Linked DNA regions of Arabidopsis thaliana. The protein of the gene in region 1 interacts with the protein of each later gene in a biochemical or structural test. Each region holds a gene or a part of one and is shown on either strand. Other genes may lie near its edges.

The links.
Region 2: the proteins of GAI (region 1) and CRY1 form a complex in vitro, tested with the Arabidopsis thaliana proteins (one study listed by BioGRID).
Region 3: the proteins of GAI (region 1) and SUMO1 form a complex in vitro, tested with the Arabidopsis thaliana proteins (one study listed by BioGRID).
Region 4: of the proteins of GAI (region 1) and SAE1A, one has a biochemical effect on the other in vitro, tested with the Arabidopsis thaliana proteins (one study listed by BioGRID).

Annotation. Positions count from the first base shown.
Region 1 is NC_003070.9:5,147,259-5,151,970, reverse strand, and holds GAI (GRAS family transcription factor family protein), read right to left. Parts: upstream 2,990-4,712; 5' UTR 2,558-2,989; coding exon 956-2,557; 3' UTR 556-955; downstream 1-555. UniProt on the Arabidopsis thaliana protein: Transcriptional regulator that acts as a repressor of the gibberellin (GA) signaling pathway. Transcription coactivator of the zinc finger transcription factors GAF1/IDD2 and ENY/IDD1 in regulation of gibberellin homeostasis and signaling.
Region 2 is NC_003075.7:5,721,980-5,727,784, reverse strand, and holds CRY1 (cryptochrome 1), read right to left. Parts: upstream 4,135-5,805; 5' UTR 3,526-4,134; coding exon 3,192-3,525; intron 3,025-3,191; coding exon 2,806-3,024; intron 2,723-2,805; coding exon 1,234-2,722; intron 884-1,233; coding exon 880-883; 3' UTR 517-879; downstream 1-516.
Region 3 is NC_003075.7:13,495,514-13,499,372, forward strand, and holds SUMO1 (small ubiquitin-like modifier 1), read left to right. Parts: upstream 1-1,773; 5' UTR 1,774-1,952; coding exon 1,953-2,027; intron 2,028-2,636; coding exon 2,637-2,786; intron 2,787-2,867; coding exon 2,868-2,945; 3' UTR 2,946-3,307; downstream 3,308-3,859. Other genes in the region: AT4G26830 (O-Glycosyl hydrolases family 17 protein), read right to left, coding at 1-886; VTC2 (GDP-L-galactose phosphorylase 1), read right to left, coding at 3,749-3,859. UniProt on the Arabidopsis thaliana protein: Ubiquitin-like protein which can be covalently attached to target lysines as a monomer. Does not seem to be involved in protein degradation and may function as an antagonist of ubiquitin in the degradation process.
Region 4 is NC_003075.7:12,821,867-12,826,714, reverse strand, and holds SAE1A (SUMO-activating enzyme 1A), read right to left. Parts: upstream 3,220-4,848; 5' UTR 3,065-3,219; coding exon 2,982-3,064; intron 2,458-2,981; coding exon 2,406-2,457; intron 2,300-2,405; coding exon 2,104-2,299; intron 2,027-2,103; coding exon 1,947-2,026; intron 1,854-1,946; coding exon 1,737-1,853; intron 1,565-1,736; coding exon 1,514-1,564; intron 1,428-1,513; coding exon 1,361-1,427; intron 1,238-1,360; coding exon 1,134-1,237; intron 1,055-1,133; coding exon 950-1,054; intron 858-949; coding exon 744-857; 3' UTR 506-743; downstream 1-505. Other genes in the region: AT4G24950 (uncharacterized protein), read right to left, coding at 1-433; AT4G24930 (thylakoid lumenal 17.9 kDa protein, chloroplast), read left to right, coding at 4,326-4,594, 4,668-4,782, 4,842-4,848. UniProt on the Arabidopsis thaliana protein: The dimeric enzyme acts as an E1 ligase for SUMO1 and SUMO2. It mediates ATP-dependent activation of SUMO proteins and formation of a thioester with a conserved cysteine residue on SAE2. Functionally redundant with its paralog SAE1B.

The DNA.
Region 1 (4,712 bases):
GACCAATTCCCACCTCAAAGTTGCTATCTTTTTTTCTGAACCATTTCTACTTGTTTTGGGATTTTTACTAAGGCCCATTAGCACTTATTCGGCCCATATATGTGGGGTAGCAAAAGTTGACTATAATCAACCATCAAACCGCCCTCGTGCCCTTTTTATACATCACAAAGGATCAAATGTCACAGTCACTCAACTATATAATACCAAAGGGTCACGAGTGAAGTCTAGTCTACTACCACCACTGTCGAATGTTTTTTTATCTCTTAAACAAGTTCGTAAACCAACTTCAATTGCTGTCAAAAAAAAAAAAAAAAAACTTCAGTCTTTTATTTACGAAGAACATCAACATCTCCCATTTTTACATATGTGGAATTATTTATGTGCAGTTGATGTTGAACAATATAATCCGCCTACTCTTTTTTTTTTTTAGGTGACATATATAATCGCCTACTATATCTTTCAGATACATGTATTAAAGGTGGACATTTGTATCTTTTCGGTTTCTTTTGTTTACTTTTCTTCTTTCAAATTAACAAATAAGAAAACTGAAAACGACTTAGCATTGTTAAAATAATCTGGTCCACCTATAATACCATGCACATTAAAAGAGCATATTCATGAGAATCAGCACATTATCATAAGAGACAGTTTAATCAGGCTCATTAGTCATTACAATGAATTTTATAGATGGTGACACTCAAGATGATTTTATTTCAACCAATTGCACATACTTGGTAACACATACTTCTATTTCTGCCTATCCAATTTACCCTCCAATGTCACATGCAAAAAAAAAAAACTCTCCAAAGCGAGATTAAAATTTTTCAATTACCTAATATAATGAAAGATAAGATCTTAACAAGTGACAAAGGGAAAAACAGTAGGATTTAGTTTGGCTTCGGTCGGAAATCTATCATCATAACCGGTTCAACAGATCAATTCATTGAGCCACCATCTAATTGGTGGAGAGTTTCCAAGCCGAGGTGGCTATGAGCGGTCGTGTGTGCCAACCCAACATGAGACAGCCGTCACTCTCCTCCACCCGATAACCCTCACCGCCGTTGAACAGAGCCAAAAGCATACTCGCTTGCTTAAACGCATTCGAACCAATATGTGCAGCCGCAAACCCAGCAGACCCGAACCGGTTCCTCCACTGACTCAACGTTTCATGACGCTCAACTCGGTCAGGTCCATCACAAGCCACAACGTTGCAGATCTGTTTACCCAAGTAAACCTCCGACATGACCTTGTCTTGACCACTCGGTACACCTTCCAACGAGTCAAACAACGTCGAGTAATAATGCAACGACTCAGTAAACCGATCTAAGAAAATCGGACTATTATGGTTCGATTCCTGCTCAACCACAGTGAAAATCTCCGGTTTAATCTGATTCACCACACCAAGAACCTTATCGATCGCACCAGGTCGTCCCAAGAGCTTGTGAAGCTCGAAAACAGAGTTAACCGCAACAGATTCAATCTCACTTGGTCTAAGCTCAAGCATCGAAGCATCAAGATCAGCTAAAGTGTTAGCCACAAATCCTCTGTACTCAAACTCAACGTGAATCGCCTCAGCTAAATGAGCCAGCTTACACCCAACTTCATGAAGATAATCGAAATTATCCGGTGCCGGTGGACCAATTCCGGTTAACCGGAAAACAGGAGGACCACCAGGTCGAAGCGCAAGAGCCTGCATAAGCGCCGGCCATTGAAGACCTTGACTCATAGAGAAATCAATGACATGAACTCTTTTCTTCCCTTGAAAAGCTTCGAGAATCGCTTGATTCGCCGTGAAGTGAGCGAACTTGAGATAAGGACAAGTCTCGTAGAAGTGCATCTGAAGAGTATCGGAGAGAGAGTGGTCGATTGGACTCTGCGACGGAGAGAGACGGTAAATCCGCCGCGCGAGAGCTTCGGCGAAGTAAGTAGCGACTTTTCTCATCGCTCCGATTTGAGAAACGGCTAAGAATCCGATTTGCTTCACCAGAGCTTCCGCTACAGTCAGATTCTCTTTCTGAACAGCTTCAGCGCAAGCCAAAAGCGCGTGAACGAGACGCACACCGTTCTCCTGCGAGTCAACCAGGACAACATGCCGAGTTGACTCAGCCGTCGCTGTAGTGGTTTCCACGACGCCGTTTGAGCATTTCAACCGCTTGTTTGTAGTATACGTATCTCCTCCGCCGCCTTGGTTAGACGAAGAAGCCGAATCGATAGCGAACTGATTGAGAATCGCGTCACCGGGAATAGCTTTAAGATCGTACTCGGCGTTAGACGACGGAGGATTAAGGTCGGTGAGCATAGAATCAAGCCACGTGTAAAGCTCCGCCGGATTATAGTGAACAGTCTCAGTAGCGAGTTGAGAAAGATCGTCTTCTTGAACATTAGACATCATAACTTCAAGCTGCTCGAGTTTCTGAGCAACATCAGCCATTTCGGATGACCTAACCTTGTAACCAAGAACAGCTAGAAGCTCATCCATGCCGTTACCGTCGTCTTCTTCATTCATCATCATAGTCTTCTTATCTTGATGATGATGATGATGATGATCTCTCTTCATGGTTGGTTTTTTTTCAGAGATGGATCTAAAAGGTTTTTCCTTCAATGTCGGATCTAGGTTTTGCTTTATTTGGGAAGGTGAAGAATCTTTAGCTTCGGGGATCGGTTAGGACTGCTTAGGATTTGTTTTTTCACTCCACTACCACTTCTAATAACAAAATAAATTGTAAAAATAGAGAGGAAGGTTATAAGAAAAAAAATGATTATTATTGTTGAGAATAAAAAGGCTCGTGATGGGGCTCGATGTCCGATGAATCATGGATCAGAGGGCTAACAGCAACATCTACAGCTCAAAGAGATAAGGCTGAAAATCACACACACACCAAAATTTGTAATTAGGGAATATATTGAAATTAATAAACTAATATATTAGGGAATATATAGCTTTTTACAGATTAATATTTTCTAAAGTTAGTATTACTTTAGAGTTTAGATGGTCATACAATTTTGAACAACTAAAAAGATTGTCATGCAACTAGTGGTACAATTTACTTTTTGTCGCTTTTTTAAGGAGTTTGTTGTGTTGGTTTTGTGTGATTGTAACTTTTGATCTAAAATACAGATATTTTTTATTAAAAAGTTTAAGTATTTAGTATAGTCTTATTAAATAAAATGGAACTTTTGTATTGGGAAAAGTAAACCATCATTAAACCCATTATGGAAATTAATATTCCATTTTATTAAAAAGAGATTGAGGGACTATGACGTTTTCCCGTTTTAGTTTTAAATTGTTAAAAAATTTAAATTGAATATAAGAAAAAGCTCCTTTTCTAACATTTTTTATAAGATCTTTAAAAAAAAAATTAAACCTTATTAGTATTTATCTGTAAGAGTGGATAAGAACTAGTAACATTTTCATTAATTACAAAAGACTTTTATATTTGTTCTTTGGATGGGGAACTAAAAGCTTTCATCATACTGTTTGAGTGCCCTAGCCTTCCCCTTTGTAATAATGTAGGCATGTTTCGAGCAAGGGGGTAGAAAAGTAAACTGCAGTATATATAAACCCATTTCAAAATAACAGTAATTATCAAATAGTAGCATTCAGTCTTTACACTTAAATAGCATTCACTATTTTGTCAATTACATGTTACGATAGAGTTAAGTTGTAATCGTTTCTTTTTAAAGTATAGTCTCGATTTTTTTTGCTATTTGTAGATAAAATTGGTTAATACAATTGTAGTATGTACTTAACGCCGTCGCTTACGGCAACTATTCTTAAATCATAATAAGATTACACAGATCAGAAAATAACAATTAGTCCCACTAATTAATGTCTTACAAAAATATTCGAAATTATTTTCGTGAAAATCAGAACTGACAACATGTGATTGGGTCCACGTGTAAAACGGGTCCCTTGAACTTACCGTACGCCATTTAGACTGTGGTCCCAAAGATCCCATGTGATTATTACACGTCTCTAAAGTATTTTTATACGCTAGGCCCTGATGAGAATTGAGATGACCATTCCCACCGTTGACGGCTCTTCGTATGGACCATCTCAATTAACGCTGTGCTACATGGTTGGTTACATGTTCTTGTGTTCCACGAATAATTATGCTCCGTTACATCATTTTCTCACAAAAAAAAAAAAACTGTTTATATTTTTAGCCACTTCACAAAAATTTATCAGATGGTATAATGGATCATTTCAATGTATATATACTATTACTTACGGAGTATAGAGTGACGTCGATAGTATTGGATTAAACATGCACCATGTCAATGTGTAATGTGTTACAAATTCGGTAGGTATAATTATTAATTTACTAGCAAAGAGAAAAAGACATCCAAAGTTTTTTACTTTGATTGGTTATCGTCATACTTGATATCAAGTGCTCTCGTTGATTAACCAAAAAAATTAAAGGTGCACTCATTGATTCCTTTATTTATTTTTTATAGTAGTAGAAGCTAACAAATGAAAATGGTGTCACATCATTCGTAATGAATATTTAGTCTGCTTTTTAGTCCAAACATTATTTTTTCTAAAGAAGTAATACAAGTCGTGATATATGTTAATTACATAAACAAGCCAATTTTAAACAAGTAAAATTGGATTACTGAATTCTTGAAATACTAGGCATTTTTGGAACAAAAAAAAAAAGGAAGAATAACTTGGGTTTACAAGATTGTTTGAGTCTTTTTGAAATAGTGAA
Region 2 (5,805 bases), on another chromosome or scaffold:
CATTAAGGAATAGTTCTTGTGTAAAGCCCGTAAACCGGAAAATCGGTTATGGTTTGTGTTTAAATCACCCGGTTTAATCGGTTGGGTTAATGGAAACCCTAGAGTGTACCTATAAAAGAAGGAAACTCGAATTAGAGCTTTGGTTAGTCATTTTTCGTTCTGTAAAAGAGAAAAAGAGAGAGAAGGAGAAGGATCAAAATCGTTAGGATTGGGGAAGAAACAGTTTCAACATATCAAATCGTTGTCAAAGGTAACGAAATTTGGTAGAGTTATTTCGAAGTCTTTCATCGTCGTTTTCCATTTTATAGAAGTTGTTTTGGATTTAAGCTCATTAAGTTATTCACAGTTTCGTGAGACACGTTTTTTCAGACGCGAATTAGGCCCAGCAGAGATTATAACTGAGATCGTGGTCTTGTCTAGTTTCTAATCAGCACGAGATTTTGTGGGAAGCTCGTGACGTCGAAGGCTACTATCAGTATACATACCTATTCGGATTCTCGTTATATGGAAGTAGACGTACGTGTTTCATATACACTAACAAGTCATTTATCATAAATAAATGTGAACTATATATGTTTATAAGATTAAGAATTGGCATCTGTTTGACTTATAACCAAAACTTTGAAAGCCAACAAGTATGAGACCTGGTCTAATACCACAAGCAACAGACTACTTACTATACAGTGTATTATAACATGATGGAACCAGAGATAAATAAAAAATGTACATCAGACAAACTCCTACATAGTTTCTCTCCAGCCCCATAACCGGAATTACATTAAACCGTACCAAATGTACTCGGTTTACAGTCCAACCAGATTTCACCGGAGTTACAGCCCTTATGATGTTCCTCTCCTTTTGCACCTCCAAATGCACTTTTTACCTGTAAAACCAAACATACCACAGTAAATTTCATGCCACTTGGTTAGACCAATGTACCAAATTCCAATTGAACTGTGAAACATAGAAACTTTCACTAATTTTTTTACTGTGGTCTACTGTAAATGCAAACACTTGGATTTGAAAACAGTTCAAAACTTTTCAGCTAAATTCAATTTAAAACTGATACTACTTGGCTAGACAAGTGTGCCAAGCACAACGCGCATCGACGATTTATTTGAATTGTGTAGGAAGATTGAAACTTACTGAAAATTTGGAGACTTTCAATTTGAAAATGTTTAGAATCTTTATGTGAACTTATTGTTGAGAGAGTCGGATTTGCGAGTTACATACCCGGTTTGTGAAAGCCGTCTCCAGTTCAGTATTTCATGGTGATTCTGCAAGTAGCTAGACGTTGTACTTCCTCCTCCAATACCATTTTCTTCACTAGGGAACTGCTCTGAGTACCCTGGAGACCACTCGGGGACTATGCCTCCGCTTCTTTCTCTCCTTCCGCTGCTGGAAGATTCCGCTGTTGAGTCTTCAGTGCTCTCTGCAACAATTCTGATATTAAATTCTGGAATCATAGCAGTGACTTGGTTTGAAGCCGGTTCTGCTCTCCGCTGCTGAGCTTGGTTGGTGTTAACCATGTTCCTTGGAACCTCTGCTCTGCTATCTCCTACTGAATTTCTCAAATTAAGAGACGACTCTTCGTCTTCTTCAGGTCTGATCAAAGAAGAAGTAATGCTTGGAACCATCTGATCCTCATATCTCCTGTTTGGGTTGAGTCTGGTTGGTTCAGTCTCTTCCATTGTAATGTCCCTTGGGAACTCTATAGGAGCTTCCTCTACCTCAGCAGAATCTCCAAGTCCTTCTTCGGATCCGTTCTCTATTGCAGCTCTTGAAGCAGCTTCTAGTTGCCACATCTGTGAAAGCGCTTCATGAAGCCGTGCTTTTGCTTCGTCTAATCCTACAATTGGTAGAGGATAGTTTGATCCAAGCTCGATACCAGCAGCTTGAAGAACGGACTCAGGTGCGTTCCACGGATGATGTATCCAGTCTGTCGGGAGTCTAGAGAGTTCAGGAAGCCATCGCCTTACGTATTCACCATTTGGATCAAACTTGTACCCTTCAAACTGAGGGTTATCTATGCGATCAAACTCCCGGCTATCCGGGAGAGTACCGGTAATGTATTGCCAACCAAGAGCATCGCTTTCTAAATCCGCATCAAGAAGTGTGTCCCAGAAATACTTCATCCCCCATCTCCATGGTAATTGAAGCACTTTAACAAAGAAGCTTGAAACAACTACTCTTATGCGATCATGCAACCAACCAGTAGCCCATAACTCTCTCATCCCGGCATCGACCAACGGATATCCAGTCCGGCCTTGCCTCCATGCCTTGAAATAGTTCTCATCCACAGCCCAAGGGAAGAACTTTAGATGGCCAAGAAGTGGTCTTTCATGGGAATATGGATGGTTAAAACTTATGTACCTAGAATACTCCCTGAGACCAATAGATTTCAGGAAAAGATTCACGCTTTCTTCCCCGGCCTCGTTTCCTTCGTTTGCCCACGCGACCTGTTTGATCCGAACAAGATGAAAAACTTTTCTCACACTCACTTCCCCAAAATGCAAGTGTGGAGAAAGAAACGAGGTTGTAGCACTATCGGCTTTTCTGCGGTTCTTAGAGTATTCAAGCAATGGACCGTTTATAAACGTTGTGAGAGCTTTATCACCATTACTCCATCCAGGAGACCAAGCACGAGCCAGAAGTGCATTGCTTCCTTTCTCAGAGTCATCCTCAAACACCAATGGATCCGCAACACATTTAGACACATCCCCTGCAACATAAAAGAAACATTATTGAATGATACAGATTTGGAAAAAACGAAAACCCACAAGAGAGAGTGGCAAAGAAACAAACCTGAAATGATCTTCTTAGGTGGAAGAAGAGGAGACTCAGGGTCATAAGGCATACTAAGACATCTCTCCCAAAACGCAGCAAACATAGAGAAAGGACGGCCTAATTCATCAGTCACTTCCCATGGCTCATAAAGCAAGTCTGCGTTGAATGATCGAACCGCTATGCCTTGCGCCGTCAAAACATCTTTAGCTCGGTGATCACGCACCAAAGACAATGGATCTGAAAAAGATCAAAACTTTATCATTTCCAGATCATCTTATTCCACAAATACATCAAACAAAACATAACCCATAAGAGAAAAGATGATTCCAATCACAAAAATCAAATCTTTTTATCATGCAAATTCAAAGATAAGATAAAGAGAGAAGAGAAGAGGAACAACAGACCATACAAATGGTTGAAGAAGATCTGAGAAGCACCAGTGGATTTAACAACATCAAGAAGAGAAGCAACACTATCAGTAGATCTCTTGGTGATAAGACAAGTACCAAGACTTCTAAGAGAAGAATCAAGCTGAGCCAAACTGTTCTTGAGCCACCACCTAGAAACCCTACCTGGATGATAGTGTCCTTCTTCTTCTGGTGCCCAAACAAACAGAGCAATCACTGGACCAGCTCTTACTGCTGCTGCTAAAGCTGGATTATCTTCAACCCTAAGATCTCTTCTAAACCATACAATACTACAACCACCAGAACCACAACCAGATACAGAACCAGACATCTCTCACAAACTAAAAAAAACTAAAACTTTTCTTTGCCAATAATCACATAAAAATTACTTTTTTATTCAAACTATTTCCAGAAATCGAAACCCTTTGGTCACTTATCTCTCTCGAGAAGAAAGACAACAAAAAAAAAAAGATTTTTGATGAGAAGGCAAAAAAAAAAAAAAAGCTTATCTTTACGAATATCTCTCTCTCTCTCTGAGTGCCTCTCTGGCAAAATGCAACTATACTTTTGGGAATTATTCACCCAAAAAGATTTTTCCTAATTTTGGACAAAGTAGTCTCTAAGTAATAACCCAAAAATATAGCAATATTTGCATTAATTTCTCTTTTAATTTATTTATTGTTTAGGTTACAGTTTGAAAAAATATTTATCTCTTATTAAATTATAATTATTATTTATTTTTGGTAGAAATATAAAATTATTATTTTTGTCTTAAAGTGAAAAATCAAAGAAAAATAAAATAAAAATAAGTTATCTAAAAAAAAAGAAGAAGAAGAAATTGGAGGTTGATAGAGAGAGGTGAAGAAGATTGACACTAGGAATAATGATTCAATTCACACGACGAGATTTATTGGAATAATTTTCCACCACAACTTTTATTTATTTCTTTCCACTTGAAATATTATCCCAATCCAGTTGAACCAAATCAACTGTGACTCACAAGATTTCTACTCCTTTCCCTAAAATTTCTCCTTTTTTCTTTGTTCAAAAAAAAAAAAAAAATGTAGAATCTTATACTATAATTCTCTAGAACATATTCTACATATAAATATTAAACTGATTTTTTATACACTTGGATTTTAGTGGGACGATTATTGGTTAATTATCAAATGGTTCAATTCGGATTTCGGTTCTGATTCGTTTCGATTTTCGTTTAGGTTTTTAAAATTTCTGTGTTATGAAAAATGGTATATTCAGATAAAATAAAATGATATAATAAATGATTTGGTATAGTTTTGGATTTGAGGTTTTTGGATTATAAATATCAATATGGTTTAGTTTGAATCGGATCGGTTTATCTGGTAAAACAAATGATATCTTAATTTTATTCTTTTATTTTTTTAAAGTTGATTATTAAGGATAATAGAGAAATCATATAAATGATGTACCGAGGATGGTTCTGAAATGTTATTGGAAGGTTAGGATATGAGAGAGAGTGACATATTAGCAAAAGTGGGCGAGAGATGGATATGGTTGGCCCTCCTTGCCTTTTAACATATTTTAGGACTTTTTATGTTATCTATATATATATATATATATATATTGTTTTTGGTGTGGAGAGTGTTTATCTTGATTCATGATAGAGTTAAGACTCCCTTGACAAGTCAATTTAAGTTACCAAATCACTAATCCAAAATTATGAAACCTCTTTTACGGCTTTACCCAATTTTAATTCCATCACATATATGTTTGATAGTTTAGATCTACATTTTTCTCTTCTGATTAATTTTTATAGTGAGCGTAGTTGTCGAATAGTCTTCATAATTGTTTTTAATATGTTTGATAGTTTAGATTTAGATTTTTTTCATCTGATTATTTTTTTAGGGTGAGCGTAGTTGTCGAATCGTCTACTTAAATTTTTTAATAGCTTTAAACATGATACTGAGAGCTGGTTAAAAATATATTTTAGGTTCGAAGAAAATTGATTTATAACTTAGACCTACATAAAAAAAAATAACAAATCAGAATCACTAACTAGCTACTTGTATTTGGTTAAATTCCATCATATGCGTAGGACATTGAATTTTGTGGGTAAAAATTAGAAGATACAAACATACATTTCTGAAAATCATAAATATTCATCAGATTAAGTATACAACAAATTGACGAAAAAAAAAATTTACAACTAATTTACTTTTTTTTTTATCAATAACACATTAATTTAAAGATAACTTCATGATTGGTTTACCGCTCAACAATTAATTCACATCAGACAAAATATATTTAACAAAGCGGATAAATAATATAAAAATGAATAATGATGACACAAATGAACGGATTACATACATTAAAAAAAACAATCATGATATCTGCTCTCGACCACCTCTAAATTAGCTTGTTTTCGAGTGTAAATAACGTGCCTTTTATTATTTTATTGCTCGTAGGAGTATTCATAATATAGCTAGAAAGAGCTTATTATTTTATTATATGTATGTACAAAAAATAATAGAGATTATTATTGATTTTGCCTTTTTTATAAAAATCTTGTGAAAATGATATTTTTCCTAAAATCTTACGGATTTATTATTTTTAACACTTAAAAATGTACCTC
Region 3 (3,859 bases), on another chromosome or scaffold:
CTCTCTTCACAAGTCCGGCGTTATACGCCGCCGCGTTAGATTCGCTTGCACCAATCTCATTCTCATCTCCAACGGAAGGCCACCCTGTTTCCGTCACCATCACCTTAACGCCTTTAAATCCGACGGCGGACAATGCCGCGTAAACGGCGTCTATTTGAGCGTCAAAGAGACTGTTGTACTTCAATCCGGTACCGGAATCTATATTCCCGGCGTTTTCTTTAAACAGAGCGTAGTCTAAAGAGATTTTATCGGCGTTTGCTGCGTAAGCGAAAAACGGATAAGCATTTACCATAAGATACGACGACGTTTGTTGAAGCAGAGCAAGCATTGGTTTAACAACCGGTTCGATTAATTCCGGTTTAAAAGAACCAGAGGAAGGCGGGTACGAATTAGCAAGCGCGCTAAGAGCAATAGGAGACGAGATCTTGATGGCTTTGTCGAGTTTATACTTAACCAGAGAGGTGTGAATGTTCTTCATCGCATTGACAAGATACGGCGTGATCGTCGGATCGACGAATACTTCGTTACCGACGGCGATAGCTTCGATCTCCGTCGCTGGGAAGTATGGCATTATGTGGGTTTTAATCCAGTTGTCGGCGAATGATTGGTGGGAGGCGGCGGAGGAGAGAAGCTCGTTAGGGAGAGCGACGATTACTTTGATTTTGGAATTTGCAAGTGCGGTTAGTACATTCTTATCGGTGTCGAAGATTTTGATACGGTTGATTCCTTGAGATTTCAGGAGGTTCACTACTTTCTCCGGCGACGGGAGATTGTTAGCTATCCGACCATAATTGACTCCGACCATTCCAGAATCTGTGGAAACAAAAACAAAAAAAACGCAAAATAAGAACAACGTAGTAGACACGGCAAATACAGAGACAGACATAGGTATATGAAGAGATTAAAAACTAACGTGCGTCAATGGCTGAGAGGAAGGAAAGAATCAGAAAATAAGGTAAGAAAGAAACGGCCATGGTTATTCTCGAGTGTATCTTCAGAAACAGAGCATTAAACGCATAGATGAGTGTCGTTTGATAGTTATGGAGACGAAGGAAAGTTTTTGTTGCGTTTGGGACGGAGCTGGTCTACAGTATTTATACGATTTAGGTGTAAACAAGTGCCAAGTGGGGGTTGTGGGATAACTAATAACACGGAAGAATAGCTGAAATAATAGATTTAACTAAAACTGTATAATTTTAAAGCTCTATTTATAGCAAAAAGTTTTACTTTACCATAATCTTCAGTTAAAGGAACTCTCTATAATTTTGATGTTTTTCTAACATATGAATGTTTTCATAGTTGATTTTGGTTATAACAGAAACCTAACAAAAACCTTGACTTTTATTGTTTCTTAAACAAGAGTCAAGACCTAGGTTCTTTATATGTTGCATTGCGCATATTTCGTTAATTCATCATCATTTCTTTCTTTTGTGAAGAGTGTGTGACAGACTTTATCTCCTTCAACTAATCTTTTTGTTAATACACAAAGTGACATGATTTATAGATTTAACAATTTATTTATTTCTTCTATGTCAAATTGTCAAGTCTTCAACAGATGATGAAATCATGGAGAGTGGTGGATAGGAGGACTCACGTCACGTGAGATCAGGAACTGCAACCTAAAATATTTAACCAAATGAAATTGTCTAGTGGGTTAGATGTGGCCCAATAAAAATATAAGCCCATTATAACGAAACGACAGATTTGAACATAACTAGCAGCCGTTGGATTAAAAGAGAACCTAGAGAGAATATGAACCGTTGGATAGATGCCCTACGATTTATGATAGAGAGGAATCCGATGCGTCCAAGTACAAAAGCCACGGCCAATTAGAGAGATTTTCAGAGTCAGTCTTTTTATATTCATCTCTCAGCATCATTCTTTGATTGTGTGAATCTCTCATCGTTCTCTCAAATTTCGTGTTTTTGTAACCGGACGGAGAACCTTTCACGATGTCTGCAAACCAGGAGGAAGACAAGAAGCCAGGAGACGGAGGAGCTCACATCAATCTCAAAGTCAAGGGACAGGTATCTCTCTTTCTCCTTCTCATCCTTGTGTGTTCTTGTGAATGTTTGGGTTTCTGATTTCGTGTAGCTGCGATTAGGGTTTTTCATTCTCCAATTTGGTTTAATTTTAGGGTTTCGTACTACTAGCTCAGTCTTAATGGTCTTCTTCCTCTTTTGTTTTACAGGTTTAAAGTATCCTGCTTTATGTTTACACGTTTGCTTGTTTTTGCTAATTGTTTATCAAATTTCTGAAATTATATAAGTCTTGTTTAGGTGTAAGTTGTTATTGAGCTTTTGGTTCCTGTTGTTGTTTGAGGGTTTTATAGTTTTGGAAGGGATAAGTTTACTTAGTTGTTGAATGTTCTAAAGACTGTGAACGATGCTGTCTCTGTACTAAGTTGTTATATATCTTCTGATGAAGTTGTAGTCTCTGTACTAAGTTTTCAATTAGTTTGGCTGATGTTTGTGCTTCAAATTCTCATAGACGAAGCCTTAAACTGAATGTTTGTTGATATGTGTTTAATTTTTCGACTCTTTCAGGTTACTACCAAAAGAGAGCCATGTGATTTAGTTATTGTTTCATATGCGGTCTCTAACGTTTATTGTTCCTTCTATATGTTTGTTTTATAGGATGGAAACGAGGTTTTCTTTAGGATCAAGAGAAGCACTCAGCTCAAGAAGCTGATGAATGCTTACTGTGACCGGCAATCTGTGGACATGAACTCCATTGCTTTCTTGTTTGATGGGCGTCGTCTTCGTGCTGAGCAAACTCCCGATGAGGTATAACATTCATTCTACATGCTTTATTTCTTACCTTTTGAAGTTTATAGTTTCTGATACTAATAATTCTTGACACTACAGCTTGACATGGAGGATGGTGATGAGATCGATGCGATGCTCCATCAGACTGGTGGCAGCGGTGGTGGTGCTACGGCCTGACACTTCGTCCAGGTTTAGGGCTTGTGTGTGATATGAATGGTTAAGGAGTAATCGGCATTAGGATTTGCAGACTTGTTTTTTTATCGTGACCATTCTCTTTAGAAACTAAGTTATTATGGTCACGAAGGTTAAAGAACCCTTTGGTTGATTTTTTGTCTTGTTCGTTTGGTATCGGATCCTATGATACTACTATTTCGGCTTAAAGGTGTTATTAACCCAATTATCTAAAGTTTGTTGGTATGGTAACGGTAAAAAGCTATTAATTATTGAAAGTGTGACTCTTAACATATACGTAGCTCATTGAGCTAATGGCGAGCAAAGATAAAATCCATCTAGTCAACTAAACAAAATATTACTTAAACATGAACTAGCATCGAGTTAGTGAATTATAGTCTATAGAGGACGACTTCATAACCAGAGCTTGTGGTGGTTATAGACAAGACAATAATCAGTATTATTACTCTCTCTCGAGTCTCGAGCTGTAAAAACTAAGTGTCTGAATCTTAACATGGTTGTTGATGGTAGAAAGACTTGGTTACAAGTAATTAGTTGGCTGAACCTGAACCCCTTCTTAAGACATATCCTTTGAATAATCAAATCTATACAAATAATAATCATATTAGTGAAGAACATATATAATTCATAAACACCAACTCATAACAAAAAACAAAGAACCAGAAGTCTAGGCACAAAATGCCCACAACCATCATACATAAACCAAGAAGCTTCAAATGCAACTACAAAGAGAGTTTGCTTATTTAGGCTTTTAATTATACATACAAACCACCAAGTCACCATATTGTTCACTGAAGGACAAGGCACTCGGCGGCCGTCCCATTTGTGATCGGACCTCCATGGGTTCTGTTGCTTTTCTGGTTAACATTGCCACTAGAGTTTTGCTGATGAACTATGGT
Region 4 (4,848 bases), on another chromosome or scaffold:
GATGATCAAAGTGGTTCATCAACACAACTAAAACCCATGACAAAAGCAGCACCATTGTAACAGAAACAAATCTTCTAATCGTTGTCTTCTTCTTTGCTTTCGTGGTATCACTCGAACTCGTCACATTCGAAGACCAACAAGATGAATGAGAAAGCAATGTCGTCTTCTTAGTTTGATCATCATCATCAGAGTCGTGAAAGAGTTTTCTCCTTAATGGCGATATTTCTTGTATCATCTCTGCCTTTGGTTTGTGTTGGAGAGAGAGCATTAGGTTTCTGGGAGAGTTTTCGACATACTCAAGAGCATCTTCCACGGTAATCCATGAAACCGCAGATGAGTTTTTACCTGTTTTCATGGCTGTCCATTCCTCCTCAAGCTCTCTCAACTTCTCCTTCAGATGTTCGTGTGAACTACTCTCCTCTCTTTCTTCCATTTTCATTTCTTACCATTTACTTTGCTATGAATTAAAATGAATGTGGTTTATATCACTGTGAGATCTCTCACTAATTACTTTTAAAAACTTAGCTAGTCTTTGAATTGAATTATAATATTTGAAATTTGAAATTGAACAATTCAAATGTCAATAACTGAAAATGATTTTACCGAAGGAAAATCACAACTGATCCTCCACTAAATTCTGCATTAAATTTGTTCATAATGTGAAGGCAAAAAACAAACGATTGAGATATACATGGAATCTCAGAGATTATAGAGTTTAAACTAAATCAAGGCCCACTGGTTGTTTAAGAGGTAAAAGAGTCGGAAATGTCTTCCATCACACCTTTCCCATCTTCACCATCATAGTAGAAGAAGTTTTTCAACGGGTCTCCTTTGCCTGATACTGCTTTGATCACCTCCTGCCACATCAAAAAATCTTTCTTGTCAAATTACAAGTTTCTAGTGAGAAGATTCGAATGCGATAAGAGAGTGAAAGTGAGAGAGAGAGAACCTGTGCTAATATTCCTCCCACAATGGCACAAACTGGCGGGAATTCAGTAGTACCAGTGATAAGTCTCTCCAAGAGAATATCTGGTATATGGCTCTCGCTCACAGACTGAGAGACAATATTCAGTTATTCAGTGAACCTGGCAGTGACATTTCTAAATAATGATAAAACAACTAAACACACTTACGTTTGCCTCACAGAGTTGCTTTTTGATTTCCAAGACTCTGGCAAGATCGAGTAGCGAACATTCTCCATGTTTACGCCCTTCACTCTCTTCAAACACTTCTATTACTGAAAATTTCATGAGAATGCCAAAGATTAGTGAAGAATTTTTGTTGTATGTATCTGCCTTGGGATCTCAATTTTCATTTGTGGAAAGTAATAAAGAAATCAGCTGTAGTAACTAGTAACTACCTCTCATAGCAAAGTAGAGCTTTGCTGTTCTCCGAGGAATCGGTTTCCATGGTACCGATATAGCTTCCTGTGGCAATAAACAAATCTAATTTATCACAAAATCCTATGCAGATGTAAGGATTATTAGTAGCGAGAACTAGTGTTAAATTGTACCTGAAAACTTGGAAAATTTAGTTCGCATTCCACCATCTCTTCAAGCTTTTTCTGTGGAAAGAAAATTATCAGGAAAACAATACAAAGGACATTGTGCAAATTAGAAGTTGTTAATGAAGTTTAAATGTTCAATGGAATTATAGAAATTTAAAAATAAGCCAGATGAAATGTCAAAACAGCACATAATCAACAGAAGAAATGCAACAACAAATCATGCAAGTACCTTTGTGTACTTGTAATCTTGGAGGTCCACAAAGATTTCACCACATGAGTCTCTACAATCGACTGTATAGAATGCGACACGTTTCTTTAACTTCCGACATTTTTCATTGACATATTTCTGCAAAAAATAAACAGACAACGTCATGAAGAGATGTATGGAGCAACTAAAGATGAAAGCAAGTGGTAAATATGTAAAAGGTGGTATAAATACTTTGGTAGCACGAGAACCATAGCCTATAACTACGACATCAAACTGCTCAAAAAAATCAGTGCCAAGCATTGACAAATCACCTGAAAGATTTGAAAAATTGATCAGATAATAGTCGGTATGTTTTTAAAACATTAACGGAGAGGTATTAGAGGGAAACCTTTCTCTACGGAAACACGGACCATAGGGTTGAAATCCTTGAGTGAATCACTACAAATCTCAGCCACAGTTTTGCCACTGTAAACATTTTCATCAGGCGGAATCAAAAAGTTAGCGTTCAAGGCCTCCATGTTTGCTAAACGATCATCCATTAAAGTCACTGAACCAACTCCTGCCAGCACAATGTTCTTGCAAAACTAACCCACCAAATGGAAACAAAGCCAGGAAATGCAGTAAGATACCATTAGATTAAACTAATTGAAAAGCATGACATCTCAGCATGAATTATAGAGTTACAGCTACCTCAGCAACAGTCCCCTTAATTCCAGATACCAAGATATGAGCTTTGGTCAATCTGCAAGGCAAAACACCAACCTCACACTATATCAAATCGTGCCAAGCTTACAGAGTAATTACATGGTAGTGTAGTGTATCAATAAAATAAGCTTCAGCAAAAAGCAAAATATGAATGAATACATCAATCTTAATAGTTAAAAAACAAAACTCTCATCTCAGAACAACCTAAGGGAGCTCATAATTAGGAATGCACTAGTCTAGAAGCAGAATCCAAACGCTAAACCAATAATAGGTATTAACTAAAATTCTCTTAAGACAAAGACAAACAAATAAAAACCAAAACTGAAGCCAAGAGAAAGTAATCGAATGGAGGAGAAGCAAAAAAAAATACAATTTTAATGATCTAAATCCGCATTTAAGAAGGGACCATTAAGCATTCTCCTAAAATGGCCAAATAGTAAGAGTTTAGTACTCAAAGCCGACTCAAATCATAATTGAGATGATGCAGCTTAAAAGCACTTAAATTTAGAAAAGTGAAAACAAGATTGAGTGTTGAAAAGAACAAGGGGATGAGAAAGTAACCTTCTCTGAGCATTAGCGCCCCAAACCCTAATCTGGCGGTCGTACAAGGCAGTCTCCTGCTCGGTAAGCTCTTCTCCGTCCATTCCCAAATTCAAGCTATCAATTCAACAAAGCTTTGCTCTAAGAAACTAGAATTTGCGTGTATAATTTTACTGGATTTATCTATGAAAACTGGAGCTTTCGATAAACCTAGTCCTCCCACTGGGTCGATTTTGGTCAACTCTCTCACAGTGTTTGCCAAAAAAGCAACGGAGGTTTCTATTTATTTTATTTCTAGTAAAATAGAAAAAGAAAAAATATAAATGGTATGTTTCGATCGCCGGTTGGATCCGGTCCGACCGCATATCAGTTGATTAATACAAAATTTAATACATAAATTATACAATAGTTTTACACAGTTTTCATATGTTCTACGGTCATAATTCATAAACCTAGTCTCCACTGAATCGATGTTTGGCAATAATCATAATTCATGAATTGATAAAAATATTTTTGAAATACTAAAAAAGCGTCGACGGTCAAATTGGTTTGAGTCTTTGCATGGCAACAATGTCGGATTGTCACCGGTGCTTTTGTAAGTCTTAACTTTGGTTTGATAAATCAAGTAAAAAAGTAGTATCTGTTTTGCAGGTTAAATACTGAAAATTTACAAGAGTTTTCACCTCTTTTGTTTGAGTAATCATCTATATCAAAATATTATGAAATAAGTAATATTATAAAAAGACATACCTGCGAAATCGTGAAAATAGAGTTTCCTTGTCCAATAAAATGTTGTTCATTCTCCTTTAGTCCTTTCTCTGCACAATTCTGCAAATGTTCAAACACTGGTGAATATAAAGAAACATATTTAATTCTCTCAAGACCATTGAACGTCTTATTTTCTATCGTTTCATTTGCCTCTCGCTCTCTTTAATTTAATTCGGTGGTAATTTTTCTAGTGGCATGAGTCAATAGTTTTTTGTTGGTTTAATGAAACATTCAATGAACATGTTACGTGTATCGGTGTATCATTAGTTACATTGAACTTTGCCGCTTGTAATTTACCATCGAATTTTTGTAATAGGATGATGAAAACTAGGTGAAACGCTATTGGTATTGGGTGAAACTCTATTTCTTGATAATTTTCTACCAATCTCATAGTGTTTTTATTGTGGTCAAACAAGAACACATCTCACATTTTATATCGGGACATTATGGAATTTGTAGTCAACTAAAATTTAAAAGTTCAAACATACAATAAAAAAAAAAAACAATTTTAATTAATTTTCATTTCAGTAAAGCGTTTTGAGACACTTATATATTAATAATATTTGGAGGAGAAGAGAGTAACCATAAACTACAAACATGAGTTTGGTCGCCAGTTTGCAACTCATCCTCCCGCCACGGCCGAGAAGCACCAAGTTGTTGTGCTCATTGCAAAGCCCAAAACAAGAACAAGAACTCTCTTCTACTTCTCCTCCAATCTCTCTTTTACCAAAACTAATCTCTTTTGCTCTTGCTATCTCTCTAACTTCCTTTTCCCCTGCCTTAGCCATTCCTTCTCTCTCCTCTTCTCAGCCACTCACCACTCCTTTCACCCAATCCAAGTTCGTCCAGACCGGTCTTCTCAATGGGTTTGTTCCTCTTCTCACTCTGATTTCTGCTCTCTAAACAAAGCTAATCTTTATTACTCTCTTTTTTTTGTAGCAAAATTAGGCCTTGCCCTTCCACGAACCCAGGATGTGTATCGACGAATCCAACCTCATCTTCCTTCTCTTTTCCATTGACGATCCCAGAAACCGATACACAGGATCCCATTGAGGTATATTTCCTCCTATCTTCATCAATTTAGCATCGTTTCTGATTATTTGTTCAACGCAGAAACTGA